Linked DNA regions of Caenorhabditis elegans. The protein of the gene in region 1 purifies or fractionates together with the protein of each later gene. This does not show direct contact. Each region holds a gene or a part of one and is shown on either strand. Other genes may lie near its edges.

Evidence for each region.
Region 2: the proteins of gly-13 (region 1) and fbxa-12 fractionate together in Caenorhabditis elegans (co-fractionation; one large-scale study listed by BioGRID). This does not show direct contact.
Region 3: the proteins of gly-13 (region 1) and klo-2 fractionate together in Caenorhabditis elegans (co-fractionation; one large-scale study listed by BioGRID). This does not show direct contact.

The regions. Positions count from the first base shown.
Region 1 is NC_003284.9:9,293,140-9,298,379, reverse strand, and holds gly-13 (Putative alpha-1,3-mannosyl-glycoprotein 2-beta-N-acetylglucosaminyltransferase), read left to right. Parts: upstream 1-1,757; 5' UTR 1,758-1,787; coding exon 1,788-1,871; intron 1,872-1,917; coding exon 1,918-2,076; intron 2,077-2,251; coding exon 2,252-2,296; intron 2,297-2,343; coding exon 2,344-2,399; intron 2,400-2,450; coding exon 2,451-2,559; intron 2,560-2,608; coding exon 2,609-2,753; intron 2,754-2,798; coding exon 2,799-2,908; intron 2,909-2,963; coding exon 2,964-3,043; intron 3,044-3,290; coding exon 3,291-3,440; intron 3,441-3,484; coding exon 3,485-3,575; intron 3,576-3,624; coding exon 3,625-3,737; intron 3,738-4,171; coding exon 4,172-4,379; 3' UTR 4,380-4,723; downstream 4,724-5,240. Other genes in the region: B0416.7 (uncharacterized protein), read left to right, coding at 459-601, 736-832, 1,142-1,248, 1,319-1,370; B0416.3 (uncharacterized protein), read right to left, coding at 5,014-5,067, 5,120-5,240.
Region 2 is NC_003281.10:2,217,944-2,222,966, forward strand, and holds fbxa-12 (F-box domain-containing protein), read left to right. Parts: upstream 1-1,764; 5' UTR 1,765-1,853; coding exon 1,854-1,906; intron 1,907-2,630; coding exon 2,631-3,246; intron 3,247-4,215; coding exon 4,216-4,422; 3' UTR 4,423-4,498; downstream 4,499-5,023. Other genes in the region: srd-65 (Serpentine Receptor, class D (Delta)), read right to left, coding at 4,540-4,727, 4,776-4,854, 4,897-5,023.
Region 3 is NC_003281.10:2,444,380-2,449,221, forward strand, and holds klo-2 (Glycoside hydrolase family 1 protein), read left to right. Parts: upstream 1-1,829; 5' UTR 1,830-1,843; coding exon 1,844-1,931; intron 1,932-1,991; coding exon 1,992-2,511; intron 2,512-3,110; coding exon 3,111-3,255; intron 3,256-3,303; coding exon 3,304-3,445; intron 3,446-3,490; coding exon 3,491-3,620; intron 3,621-3,666; coding exon 3,667-3,869; intron 3,870-3,956; coding exon 3,957-4,156; 3' UTR 4,157-4,317; downstream 4,318-4,842. Other genes in the region: E02H9.7 (uncharacterized protein), read right to left, coding at 864-1,295.

The sequences.
Region 1 (5,240 bases):
GAAAATCTATTGGGCAGCCAAGCAAATTGGCAACAGTTTGAGTTTTTCAAACCAAAAAATTGTCTCACATTAGCCCTGCGCAATAGTAATTTTTATTTCGGTCTGTTAACCATTAGAAACATGATATTGGACTTGTCTTTTCTCCCGATTCTTCATGGTTTGACTGAAAATATATGTATTTCAATGATAGTTTTCTGCTATACACTATTTCAACACTCCAATTACAAAACAAAAATGTCACGAGATCTCTCATCATTTAATTTTTCGAAATGAAACGTAATTTTTGATCTTGCAACGATGCTATTAGTGACCGTCATTTCCATTGGCAAGGCTGGGTCATAGCTACTTGAGAACAAGTTCTCTTGAATCGACAATATCAATTACGAGAAAGACCACTTCTTCTCGCTCACAAATTGTTTTTATTTTTTTTATTGTTTGACATTACAGATTAAGAAATGATGAATCTTTCAACAGCTATTATCTCTTGTTTATGCATTGGAGTTCTTAGCTATGAAAATAAGTTTCAATTTACTGGAACTGTGTATTGCAAAAGTAACGCCCCATGGTGTGTAAGAATTCGTGTTATAGAAGTTGATACATTGTGAGTTTTATCAGATTAGCAAATGTTGCATACATTGAGAGAAATTATTTTCCATGGTAAAAATTTAAATTTAGAAAAAAAATTTAAATTTAAATTTAAATGTAAATCTTCTATGTATTACAAACACATTTTAGAGTCGACGACGGAGTTGCCTCAGTTGATTTTTGTTCAAATGAAGTTACTCAAACTTACGATATTGGAGGAGTGCAAGAAAATGATGGACTTCTGGACGTAGGTTTTAAAAATTGAATTGGTAACAAGTCAAATGATTAGAAGCAAGTAAAAATAGTGATTCAATTTTTGGCAAACATGCGTAAACGTTGGAGTTTAAATTTTTATTTATTTAATAGTTCCTTCATATCAATAACATTATTCCACAGTTTATTTTATTTTCCATGATTCTCATATTTTTTGTCAGTGTTAAATCACAGTAAAATACATATATCAGTTAAGCTGTTACGTAGGCAATAATACTAAAATGCTGGAAATTTTTTTTAAACTATAAACAATATTTGATAAGAATTCCAAAAAAAATTTCAGCGTAATTTTGAACTCCAAATGGTTGTATTCCATAACTGCAGTCGCAACACTGAAACTGTCTTCAAAACGGGAATCTGGAGAATTCCGCTTCCGAAGGCTCCAACTGTGTAAGTCAAATAAAGTTTAAATAAGCTTTAATAGAACTTTACTTTCAGCTAAATTCAATAATTTTTTCAGACACGCTCCTATTCGCCAACATTTGAACTTGAATACGAATAATTCACAATAATTTTACGATCTTTCACAATTTTTTTATTTTGCTTCTTTTTCGAAAATAAAATTCAAGAATCAGACTAATGTAAAATCAGCGATTTATACTTTTACAAAGCAATTACATGCACCATATCGAAATCTTGCAAAATACTGCATAAACTACGGGATTAGCGGTGGGGTTTTGCGTCCTCAATAAATAGCGTGTCACCCAGTTGTGTGCGGCATAGTGGCAAAACACCATGCGGCGGGTTGCATGGGGGAGGAGTCTCACCGAAACCACGTCAAACTGCGGTTTATTAACCAAATATTATTAACATTTATTGTTTTTCCGTGGTTTTTTTTTTGCAATATTTATTTGTATTTTTCAAATATTAAAAGGTATATTTTTATTAATAATTTTCAGGCGGATGTGTACATATTTCCACCTAAAATCATGCATGCGGTGACAAAAATCTTTATCATTTTCATATTTGTATTTATTTTATGGACGCTCTACGTAGAAAATGATATAACAAATGTAAGTTTTTATTTAATTCGAAAAATATATAAAAACCAAGCTTTAGAGAACCAGAAATACGGATAATATTGATGATTTACTGGAATCAGCGAATAGATTGGAGCGGTTATTGAAGTTTGAGGCAAAGAAGATTGCTGCGTTGGCGGAAGATGTGCACAAAATAAGGGCAAACAGGAAGGGAAAACATGTGATAATGGAAGAAATGGTAAGGGTTTAAATTTTGAAATTTCAAAACTGAATTCAGAGTTACAATAAATCTATTTTTGCCATGTGAAACTGAATTGATGCTAACAGGGGTTTCAATGATCTTCGAGAGTAACTGCGAACTCCAAATTTATAAAAAAATTTTTAATAAAAAATGTACCATTTCAAAATTTCAGGTTTCTCAAGATTTGAAGCAATGGAAAGACCCCATTCCGGTTTTGGTATGCAGATTCGGAGTTTCTTTTCAAAATAATTGAGTTCTTTCCAGGTTTTCTCCTGTAATCGTGCGATGGCAGTGAGAGACCATGTTGAGAAACTTATCAGGTACCTTTCCATAGTTATTTTTGCAATAATTTTTATTAAGTATGTTTCCAGGTACCGACCAAGTCAGGAGAAGTTCCCAATCATTGTTACCCAAGACTGTGATAATGAAAATGTGAAGAACGAAGTGAAGAAGTTTGGAGACAAAGTGGAGTACATTAAGGTAGATTTCAAAAATCTCTGTCTGCAATCTCAATTTCATATAATTTCAGCATTTGGCCGGCGATAAAGCGAATATCACAATTCCACCCAGTCACCGACAGTACACCGCTTATTACCGCATAGCACGTCATTACAAATTGGCGCTCAATCACGTTTTTGTTGATAAGGGCTACTCATCAGTCATTATTACAGAAGGCAAGGTGATCATTTGATTTCATTTTAGATAAACTAAAATTACAGACGATCTCGACATTTCGCCAGACTTCTTCTCGTACTTCTCAAGTACGCGATATTTGCTGGAAAACGATGAGAAATTGTGGTGCGTCACTGCCTGGAACGACAATGGAAAAGTGAATAATACAATCTTAAATTTAATTGACTGTTGCTGAAAATATGTTTTTTCAGCAAGAGAATATTGACATGACTGCGGCTTCTACGTTGTACAGAAGTGACTTCTTTGCAGGACTTGGCTGGATGATGTCTTCGTGAGTTTCGGAAAATTATTTTTACTCATCAGTCATTATTACAGAAATATCATGTTTTTCTGAGAATAATGAAACTAGGGAGTTATAAGAATTTTTCGAAACTATTTTGTCTGTCGAAATCTGTAACATTTTCGAAAGGCTTAACACTTTTTTCCAGAGAACCGAACTTACAATTTCAAAAATTACGATTTTAATTTCTGCAAAATGTTTATGCTAATTTTGAGCTGTGATTTTTTTATATTTTCAGGAAAACGTGGCATGAACTAGAACCAATTTGGCCTGTAGGATTTTGGGATGACTGGATGCGAGACCCTGCACGGCGTAAAGATCGTCAATGCATCCGACCTGAAATCAGTAGGACAGGGATGATGTCTTATGGAAAAGAAGGCGCCAGCAAGTATGAGATTTCTACAATTAAAAGTCTCATAAATCTGTTTACAGAGGCCAGTTCTTCAGCAAGCATTTGGCAAAGATAAAAGTCAACGATAAGTACATCAACTTTGGGAAGATTGACTTGGATTATTTGTTGCCTGTGAGTGGTTTCCCAGTTTGCATAAAACTGCCCAGTTTTCCTGTTTCAGGCCAATTTCGCGAAGAAAACAAATTTGGAAGTCATGAAGGAAGCCGTTGAGCTGAGCATAGATAATGTGGCTTCTTTTGTATTGAGCTCGGAGAACAAAGGAAAAAGTGTCAGGTAGGAGTAACGCACTTTTAAAATGGGCCTTGAATTGACAAACGAGGATCATGAGTCATAAGAAAACGTTGGTGGAATCTTTTTTTTTTTTGAAGAAGAATCGAATCAACGATGAAAGTAAAACCGAACTAAAATGAAGAGAAACCATTCAATTTTTTTTTTGAAAGTACTAAAAAACATTGCTTTAATCCTTTAACATTGTTAGTTAGTGAACATTATTATCCAAACGGATGAGAAGACCGAATAGCAATGCGTTGTAGTCCAACATCTTGAAAACTTCTGAAAAATGATTTTAAGAATTGTTTGCTGGCTTCGTGTCATTAGTTTTTTTTAACTTTTTGACAGAGATGTTTGCAAATTTTGTGCAACTTATCTCTTATTTTATCAACATACATACTGTATTAAACACATTAATTAACTGTAGTATGTTTCAGAGTGATGTACGATGGCAATATTGACTACATCCGGAAAGCTGACAAACTTCATATAATGCACGATTTCAAAGCTGGTGTCCCACGTACTGCATATGATGGAATAGTCACTTGTTTTATAAACGGAATTCGTATTTACTTGGTACCTGACAGAACAAAAGTGTCAGCATATAATCCAGATTGGTCGGTTCCGCCGTCGTTTGGAGAGTAGTTTTGTGGCTTTGATAATGTTTAAACTTTATATTTCACGGGTTTCATTCTTACCGAATCTAGTCGACTCTGGCCTGCATTCCTATTATTTTGTTCAACTCTTTCCAGTGAATCTGACATTTGCAGCTAGTAATTTGATGTGAAAATTATTACCTTGTTTCGAGATGTGATTGCCCTACGAAATTCATATCTTTTCTCAGCAATTGCACGTTTTATTTGCTACGTTGGTTGTTATTTTAGGGGTATTGTAATTGATTATCAATCTTTTTCTTTCCAATATGTTACATTCCACGGAAAAATAGTTTTTTTTTGCAATGAATAAACGAGTGAGCGTTTTGAAACAAACACTGAAATAATCAATAGAAATTTATTAGAAATTGTTTTATTTCAATGAACAATAGAAAAATACAAGAAAGCGGACAAGTAATGGTGTAACAGCAACATGCTAGACACTCGTCAAGAACACAGAAACCCGAATTTCAAAAAATGGAAGAAAACGTGTGAAAGTGCTTACTAACACAGAGAGCTTGGAGAAGATCACGCAAAAATTATGATTAGAAGTAGTCGAAAAAAATGGTAGAAGTAGGCGGAAACCATGTGGCTGGTGAGTTTTTGGTGAGTGTGGTATCTCTACGCTAAAACATCATACGGTTAGGTGACACGTCATCTTGCGAAACTTTTTGGTTGGCCTGTAAAGTGGGTGAGTGTGTGAAGCGGTGAGCCCGAAGTGATAGCGTTTACCTCCTTTAACATGTGTAAAGTTTCATCAACCTGTGAAATAAACAGAAAATCGATATAAACAACATGAGTAGTCCAAACTAAAGGGGCAAGAAGCAAAGCTAAAAGAAGACTGCAGCCGAGG
Region 2 (5,023 bases), on another chromosome or scaffold:
TCCGTTCTCCAAAACATTCACAAGAGATTTGAGAACCTCGTTTTTATTTCTTGTAAAGTTTTGCAGAACAAATGAAGATGCATGGTTCATTGCTATTTTCAGGTCCTTGAATGCCAACTCCATGAAATCTTTTTCTTGGATAATAGTCTTCCGTCCTTTGTAGATCACAGCTGAATCAGTGTATTCCAGTTCAATCTTATCAAACCGTATTGAAAGGGTTTCGCTCATAACGTCCAGCTTGATGGTGTCAAAACGGATTCCAAGCTTGTCAAGGGCGGCTCTCAAGCTTCGACAGACTTTACGGCAGGTTAGTCTGGAATTTAAATAGTTTTTGATTTAACACTGCAAGTAAAGTTTTAAGTCTAAGCCTACCATTTTAGCTCCGCCTATTTTTCAGCCAATTAACGTTTAGCTCCGCCTATTTCTCAGCCAATCAACGTTTAACTCCGCCTATTTTTCAGCGAATCAACGTTTAGCTCCGCCTATTCCTCAGCCAATCGACGTCTCAGCCAATCAACGTTTTGCTCCGCCTATTTTTCAGCGAATCAACGTTTAGCTCCGCCTATTCCTCAGCCAATCGACGTCTCAGCCAATCAGCAATTAGCTCTGCCTATTTCTCAGCCAATTAACGTTTATCTCCGCCTATTTCTCAGCCAATCAACGTTTAAATCCGCCTATATCTCAGCCAATCAACGTTTAACTCCGCCTATTTTTCAGCGAATCAACGTTTAGCTCCGCCTATTCCTCAGCCAATCGACGTTTAGCTCCGCCTATTTCTCAGCCAATCAGCAATTAGCTCTGCCTATTTCTCAGCCAATTAACGTTTATCTCCGCCTATTTCTCAGCCAATCAACGTTTAAATCCGCCTATATCTCAGCCAATCAACGTTTAACTCCGCCTATTTTTCAGCGAATCAACGTTTAGCTCCGCCTATTCCTCAGCCAATCGACGTTTAGCTCCGCCTATTTCTCAGCCAATCAGCAATTAGCTCTGCCTATTTCTCAGCCAATTAACGTTTATCTCCGCCTATTTCTCAGCCAATCAACGTTTAGATCCGCCTATATCTCAGCCAATCAACGTTTAGCTCCGCCTATTTCTCAGCCAATCAACGTTTAGCTCCGCCTATTTCTCAGCCAATCAACGTTTATCTCCGCCTATTTCTCAGCCAATCAACGTTTAGATCCGCCTATATCTCAGCCAATCAACGTTTAGCTCCGCCTATTTCTCAGCCAATCAACGTTTAGCTCCGCCTATTTCTCAGCCAATCAACGTTTAGCTCCGCCCACTTTTCAACCAATCAGCATTTAGCTGCACCCAATTCTTAACCATTCAGCGGAGGAAAGCAGCCCCTTCTGATTGGCCAGAAGTTGCTCAACATCATAGTTTTTTTCGTAGTTTTTAAGAGTTTCGAGATTATTCTGTATATTTTGAAATTTGAAAATGAAAAATTCGCATTGCTGTTAAAATGCAAAAAAACTTACCGTTCAATGGGCTCCAGCTTTTCAAAACATGATTGGCAATTTCCAACGGCAATTCTAGTAAAGTAGGCATTTTCGAAAGTTTCTTTTTTCAAGTAAAAACCTGAAGTTTTCAGTGTAAAATTTGAAGAAATTGGGAAGTTTCGAGTAAAATGAAATTATACCAATGTGTGACTGTTATCAGTTTAAATATTTTTTCGGGAAAAACGGATGGAGTCATACTTTTTTTACGGAGGAAATGTTTAAATACCATGCGTCATTGGAGTTTGTATAATAGAGAGAGTGAATAGACGTTTTTGGTTCATTTTTACGTTTGAATTTACATATAACTCCAGTAAAATGTCCAAGTTATCGCCAACTTTGCTCACTATCAGTATGCCTTTGGAAATTTCTGATGAAATTTTGTCAAAATTGCCTGCAATGGATCTGTAAGTTGAAGTTATAATTTCACAAATTTTTCCAAATGAAAGTCAAACTTTATGCTAAAAAATTTGAATTTCCCGCCAAAATGTTCAAAAAACATTTAATTTGAATTTCGCGCCACAAATTTTTAAAAATGTTGATATTAACGGTGCGTCAAAATTTATTTGTTCAATAACAAAATTAAATTTTATGCCAAAATTGTTTGGAATATTAAAATGTTTTAAAAATTTTAAATTTATTTTTGTACCCAAATTTTTTAAATATTGATTTTGGCGCCAAAATTTTTATTCTTTAAAAAATTGAATTTCGTGCCAAAAATGTTTGAAAAATTAAAATTTGAATATATATTTTTTTAAGATTAAAAACGTTTTTTTTTTTGAGAAATTTAAATTTGAATTTGGCGCCAAAATGTTTAAAAAATTAAAATTTGAATTTTCCGCCAAATAATTTTAAAAAATTGAATTTGAATTCAAATTCAAAATTTTGGAAAATTTTAAAATTGAATTTGGTTCCTAATTTTTTTATGATAAAAATTTGAAATGTGCTCCAAAATATTTTAAAAAGTTCAATTTGAATTTTCTGCCAAATATTGTTGGGAAATTAAAATTTGAATTCCGTGCCAAAAATTTAAGTTTTTTTCATGATTATATCTGATCTTTTCGGTACCAAATAAGTGTTTCCAGCTCAAAGGAGTCTTAAAATCTTTTTAGTAAAAATGCAATGTTCCAGACTATCCTGCCGTAAAGTGTGCAAAAGTCTGAGAAGCGCCGTTGACCAATCAGGAAACCATCTCAACAGAATCTCATTTGACATTTGTAATGATTTCGTTGCGATGGACTTAAACGGAAGTCAAATCAAATATACCGATGTTTCTGGTACTGCATACGTGACTTACAAAGGACGAGAAACAAAAATCGAAGAAGACAATTTCATGCGAGCAGCGTTCAACGACTTGGCGAGCGTATTGAAAAACGTGAAGAAGTTCGTTTTTCAGAACTATTCGAAAGTAAAACAACAAGCCATCACATCGTCGATAAATGATATGTTGGAAAATAAATGTATAGCCGTAGAGTCAGTAGTACTATACAACTTCCCACATGATGATATTTTGAACATCATTTCGAGTTGTCAAGCTGAAGTGCTCAAAGATATTGTATTATGGCACCGCGACGGAGTCGAGTTATCTGAAAGAATCACTTGTCTGGACCAATGGAAAAAAGCACGAACTTTGCATTGTCGGTTTTTGTTTTGTGATCTAGTACCAATTGAGCACTTTTTTCACTTTGAAGAGTTCAGTATTCAAATTGACAATCTCTCAATGCCAAATGCGATTAAAATTCGAGATGTGAGTTTTTCTGATTTTCACATGTATGTGGTATATAGTAGTAGTAGTAGTAGTAGTAATCAAGGGTGTCGGTTTTTCGTTTTTCGGTTTTTTGAAAATCGAAAAATCGAAAAATTTCGTTTTTCGTTTTTTCGATTTTTCGATTTTTTTTTTTTTTTTCAGAAATTAGCTTCATATTTTAGCCATTATTCTTCTTTTTAGAAGAAATGTGTATGTTTTATTATAAATTCAAGCAAAATTAGATTTAAAAAATCATATTTTAAGGATAATTTTCCGAAAATCTTTTTCGATTTTTCGATTTTCCAGAGAATCGAAAAATCGAAAAATTTTCGATTTTTCGGTTTCTGAAAATCGAAAAATCGAAAATTTTCGTTTTTCGATTTTCAATTTTTCGATTTTTCGATTTTTCGATTTTCACTGAAAAAAATTAAAAAATCGAAAAAATCGAAAAATCTAAAAATCGAAAAATGACACCCTTGGTAGTAATAGTGTGTAGTAGTATATAATTTGTATGTAGTATGTATGTATGTAGCATGTATTTATGTAGTATGTAGCATGTATATATGTAGTATGTAGTATGTAGTATGTATGTATCTAGTATGTAGTATTAGTAGCAGTAGTAGTAGTAGTATATAGTATGTATGTAACATGTATGTATGCAACATGTATGTATGTAGTATGTATGTATATAGTATGTATGTATGAAGTAGTGGTGTGTATGTATGCATGAATAACCTAATGAAATTTCTCGAAACCTTCTGAAAAAAGTTGCGGTGGTTTAAAAAATTACCGAAATTTGAAATTTGACCGACTTGTCAAGCACTAACTTTTATGAAATTACCATATAGCTATCTTAAGTTTTAACTTGATTTAGATACATTTAAAGTCGACGGATCACCAGATTTCGTAAATTTAAGTAAACCGAAATCAAGTCAAGACATCTTACTTGTATACCCAAATTTTTTTCAGGACCTCATGAACAAAACTACATTCAAGACCTGCACTATTTCAACTCACCATAATGTGCAATCAATTGAACTTGCAAGAATATTTCAACCGGACTATATGGGCGACATTGACTATAACATCAAATATTCTAATAACACTGGCACCTTCGAAATTTCTTTCAAATCATCACTTACTATTAGAGCACGGTTTGTTATTAAAAAATGCTGACAACAAAGGGATCTTGTTTCTATATTTTCCAAACGACCAAAATTATTCATATGTGCATTAAAAAAGTTTAATAAAAAACATGCTTCATTTTTGAAAAAAAAGCCCATTAATAATTTTTCAAGCAACACTGTTCACTGCTGAAACTCTTGTAGCCCAACTACCATCAGCAGACGGCTTCCGCACGAAGAAAGCCCGAACAGCGTTCCTGTACGGTGTAATGAAGTAAATTTGAAAAATTGGATCCAAGAAGCAAGGAAGTGCTCCTAGACAGGTTATTGTGTACTGAGAGATCAGGAATTGATGGCCTAAAGGTGATATATACAAATTATATTGGTTTGATAAGCTTCCCTTACCAGTGACTTGAATCAGAATAAATAAAAACACTACGGGGATATAACTAAGCATCGGCAGAAAGATTTGAAAGTTCAGGCCCTGGAAACCAAATTAAGCTATATAACAAAAGCTTACGCCTACAATAATCATTTTCCGAAACATAACACGTGTAGCGTCCGATGTGTTTGGGGATACATGAGGTTTAAGAAGCTTCATCGCCTGATGCTTCCAGTAGCTGCCGATCATTGGAAAATACAACGTGACAAGG
Region 3 (4,842 bases), on another chromosome or scaffold:
GATAGTTTTGTAATGAGGATTAAGCAATGTTGTTGAATCTTGAATAATCTGAAAAAAAAATCAACTTTTGACTAATCTAGTACTTTATTCACATTAACTCTCCAGTTCATTCATATATGCTATTTCATACTTCTTAGCCACTTCTCGACGATACTCATTCAATTCCTTCACCTTTATTTCAAACTTTGCAGGAAACTCCCTTTCGCCGCTGGTATCTTGAGCACACGAGAGCCCAAGGAATATCAGAATAAGGACAGATGCTAGCATTTTTTAAATGTGTTGTTTGATTGAAAACGGTTCCATGTTTTATACTTTCGGGTGCGATGGCAAATCACAACAAAGTGACAAACGCTCCTGGAAATAGCGTCATCTTTTCAATATTGTGATATATTTATATTTTGAATTTCAATGTTCTGACGTTTAGTTAAGGCGTGTCTGAAAATCCGAGGGGTTTAAGAAAGAGCCGACAAACTTTTGCGACGCGTACCTAAATTTGATCGAAATAACCATGTCCTGTTTATTTGATTATTTTATTTTATGTGCTGTGCTTTTTTTAATTGAATGAATATTCATGTACACGTTTATCTACAAAAAAAGCGGGAATTTTTCAAACAAAAAATGTGAAGTCAGCACCTAACTTCCAGCGATTCTTGCAGATCTACGTAGATCAATCCGAAATGGGACACTCTGACACACAGTAACGGAGACAGAATTCTGTTGCTCTTTTATGTGTCATCGAATTAAAATCGTATATGCTATATATATATTGCCATTACCTGAACTCACAACATAGTAGCGATTAAATGATCGCTAAACCTCTAACTAAACTCTACAAAGTAAACAAATTTCAAACATGTTTTTATTCAAAATGTAATCGCAAAAAGAACAGTACCTAGAATTATAGGAAATACAAACAGGGAAGATGATGCTTTTGAATCAGAATCTTCAGGGGCACCAGTTAAGCGGGAGGTAGATTGAGTGGTTGTCACTTCTACAGTAGTGCTGGTAGTAGAGAATGCCATAGTAGATGTTGAGGAAGCTTCCTCCTCAGCTGGTTTATCAGTAACTGGAGTTATAGATCCTTCCTCTTCAGATGATGCTTCCCCTCCATATAATGTCTCCTGAACTGGTGTTGTAGAACCTTCCTCTTCAGATAAGTTTATCTCTGGAGTCGAGGTTTCCGGAGCTGGTGTTGTAGAGGCATCATCAGTAGTGGATGATACCACAGAAAAAGCAGAAAAATCTTGAGCACAAGAGAGCCCGAGGACTATTGAAATAAGGACGGAGGCTCTCATGATTTTAATGTATCTTCTTTTGGATATACCCTTTATATATGTGTTTTATTGAATGGGATATTCTCACAATATCCTGACGCTAGTTTTATTTATTTTTTGTTTGTAAAGAGAGTTTGATTGAAATATAAATCTAGGTGGATTTAACAACAAAACTGTGAAAATTTTCAAAAAGGAAAAATAATTGGATATTCTTGTGACGTTAGTGTTTTCTAACATACAAAATGCTTAAAAACTGGCTACCATATACGTTATATTGTCGCTTCGCCTGTTTTACTTTGAAAGGTTATATCTCACTCCGTTACAAATATATCAATAGATAATAGACATATATCAATAGATAATAGATATATAAAAAAAGAAATAGGCAATATTTTGTTAGTTGATAAGATTTTAATAGAACAACTGACAAATGACATTTAAGCTGTCAAAGAAAAAAAGTATACCCAATTCTTTATTTCCGTCACCCCGCGCCCAAAGATGAAAAAAAAGTCAATATAGTTTCCTCCCGTTGGCACAAACGCTTATCAGTGATCATTTGTTGTTCCGCAATGTCGCTGGCAACTAAATTCCCCAAAAACTTCAAGTTAGCAACTGCAACTGCCGCCTATCAAATTGAAGGTGCCAAGGATTTGAATGGTTAGTTGCTTTATGTGATGGAGTTTTAAATTTTTTTTTTTTTGAAAACTTTTTTTTCAGGCCGCGGCTTCAGCACCTGGGATGCCATCCGCCTGGAACCCGGCCGAATCCTTGACAATTCCGACCCGGACCTTTCTTGTGATGGTCTCCTAAAGTACAAGGAGGATGTAGCTCTTCTCGCTGAAATCGGTGTCACCAACTATCGATTTTCCATCTCCTGGTCCCGAATTCTCCCGGACGGAACTTTATCGACTATCAACGAGGAAGGCATCAAATTCTACCGGGATCTGTGCCTATTGCTAAAGGAGAATAATATCGAGCCAGTGGTTACCCTGTTCCATTTCGACATGCCACTTGCGATATACGATAACGGAACTGCTTGGCTTAACAGGGAGAACTGTGAGCATTTTGAGAAGTTCGCAGATCTATGTTTCCAAAAGTTCGGGGATCTCGTGAAAACATGGATCACATACAACGAGATCAACTGTCAAGCATGGGGATCGATTGTGAAGGTTGAAGGGGAGTTCTGGTTGTGCCCCGAGCGTCCGGAGATTGAGAATCACAAACAGGCACCGTATTTGTGAGTTTGTGAAGAAATGGCGACCTGAAAGGTCCGTCGGCGTTCGGGGACCGAGTAGTTGACGGACTGAATCGATTTGCCGGCCTGTAAACGGCCCGTAGTCGGCCATGTCCGTTCTACAAGTGTATAGATTGATAGTTAGGCCAATATACACCACTGGCATAAGTTGAGTTGTTCCAGACTACCTCAAAGTTTTCGGGACGGCAGGTTTCACAGCTGATTCGTGTCGATATACGGAGCGTTCCCCTTCTCCGTAAATTGGCTGAAAGGCTCCGTAAATTGGCTGAAAGACTCCGTAAATTGGCTGAAAGGCTCCGTAAATCGACACAATGCATTTTTTGGGCCGGTAATTGTAGAATAATTAAGGCGAACCCTTCACGGTAGGCAGGCGAGAGCGCCTTACAACTTCACGTGATCAAACCGTAACGGGGGAAACCTGACACCACGTGTGGCATGTGTTTTTAGCATAAAACTCAGTCCAGTCACCTCAGTCCAAACTTAAAAACGAACCTAGCTGCTGTTGACCTTTGTAGATCACAAAGAGATTTATCCGTCTAGATCACACTCTTGCCGGCCTTACGACCACCCTATTTTTTCAGCGGCGCCGCCAACATGCTCCTGACCCACGCGAAGATCTACCGAAACTACGACCAGAACTACAAACCAACACAGCATGGGATCCTTGGAATCACGAATGGAGGAAGGTTCTGCTTCCCGGCAACCGATTCGCAGGAAGACATTGAGGTAGGGAAACTCGCATGTGCCCTAACAACTATATTTTCATTTTTCCAGGCTTGCAATCGAGCTCGCGACTGGCTATTTAACTTCACGATTGAGCCGATTCTCTCTGGTTCGGGAGATTTTCCAGTGCTGATGAGGGAGAGAATGCCGTTTATACCGAAGTTTAGTGAGGAGGAGAAGGAGATTATTAAAGGTTCGAGTCAGGGAAAGCACTTCACCGATTCAAAATTTTTTCCAGGAAGCACTGACTTCATCGGAATCAACTACTACCTCAGCTTCCTGGTTCGCGCGCCGAAAGATGGTGAGAAAGCTTCTTCCCAGTCTCAGCATGACGGTGGTTATGTGTTTGTGGAGGGAAAATGGGATAAGTTAGTAGTAGATCGTTGCATTCAATCAATCCCGCAGTTCCTTCAGAATATGCGGCGAAACCTGGATTCGTTACGCCCCTGATGGGCTCCTAAAAATTTTGAGATATGTCAAGGAAAAGTATGCAAATACTCCGGTGTTTATAACCGAAAATGGATGCATGGATATAGTCGGGCAGGACCAAGAAGATGCTTTTCACGATCAACATCGAATTGATTACATCTCTGGGCATTTGGAAGCGGTGGCGAAAGGTAAGAATTGTCAACTAGCGAAATGTTTATCATAGTCTTTTCTACGGAATCCTAATTAATCATTAATCAATAATACAGTTTTTTCAGCTCTCGATGAAGGCTGCAACGTGATCGGTTACACTGTTTGGACGCTAATGGACAACTTCGAGTGGGATGACGGTTTTGAGCTCAAGTTCGGGCTCTGTGAAGTCGATTTCGAATCTCCTGATAAAACACGGACTATGAAGAAGTCCGCGTACTTTTATAAGGAGTTTATCAAGGAGTTCAAGGATTTTCATGGGATTTGATTTAAATTTAATGTTGTGTATTTTGTATAGTTTTTGAATAATATGTACTACTAATGTTTTATAGTATTTAATGCTACATATTTGATATTAATGAAGTTGTGCAATATTAAATGACATATATAATGAATAATGTTGTATTCAATTAAGTGCTATGTATTAATATTAATGTCGAATAATATTATATGTCATGTAATGTTAACAATGTTGCAGAAAATTAAATGCTATGCACTACTTATAATGATGTGTATTAATTAGTCGTGTCTACTATTAATAATGTTGTATACATTTGAATGTTTTTTACTATTATTAATGTTCTATAGTATCTAATGCTTTGTATTAATGTTAGTGTTGAATATTTTTGAATGCTATGTGCTATTAATAATGTTGTATATTATTAAATGTCATGTACTATTATATTAATAGTGTGTTGCTCAGTGGCTATGCTTTGGGACTAAAATGCCTCTCATTTACAACCACTTCCTACACAGGGGGAGAACAACAGAGCAAGCGGGAGGATACTGGCAGAGGCGGCATTGATCAAACTATAGATAAGACATTTTGTGTGCACTGGACCACACAACAGCTATGTATTGTTTTAATGTATAGTATCTGATGATGTGTATGTACTATTAATATTGTTGTATTGATTTAAAGAACTACATATATTAGTGTCATAAAGTATTCAA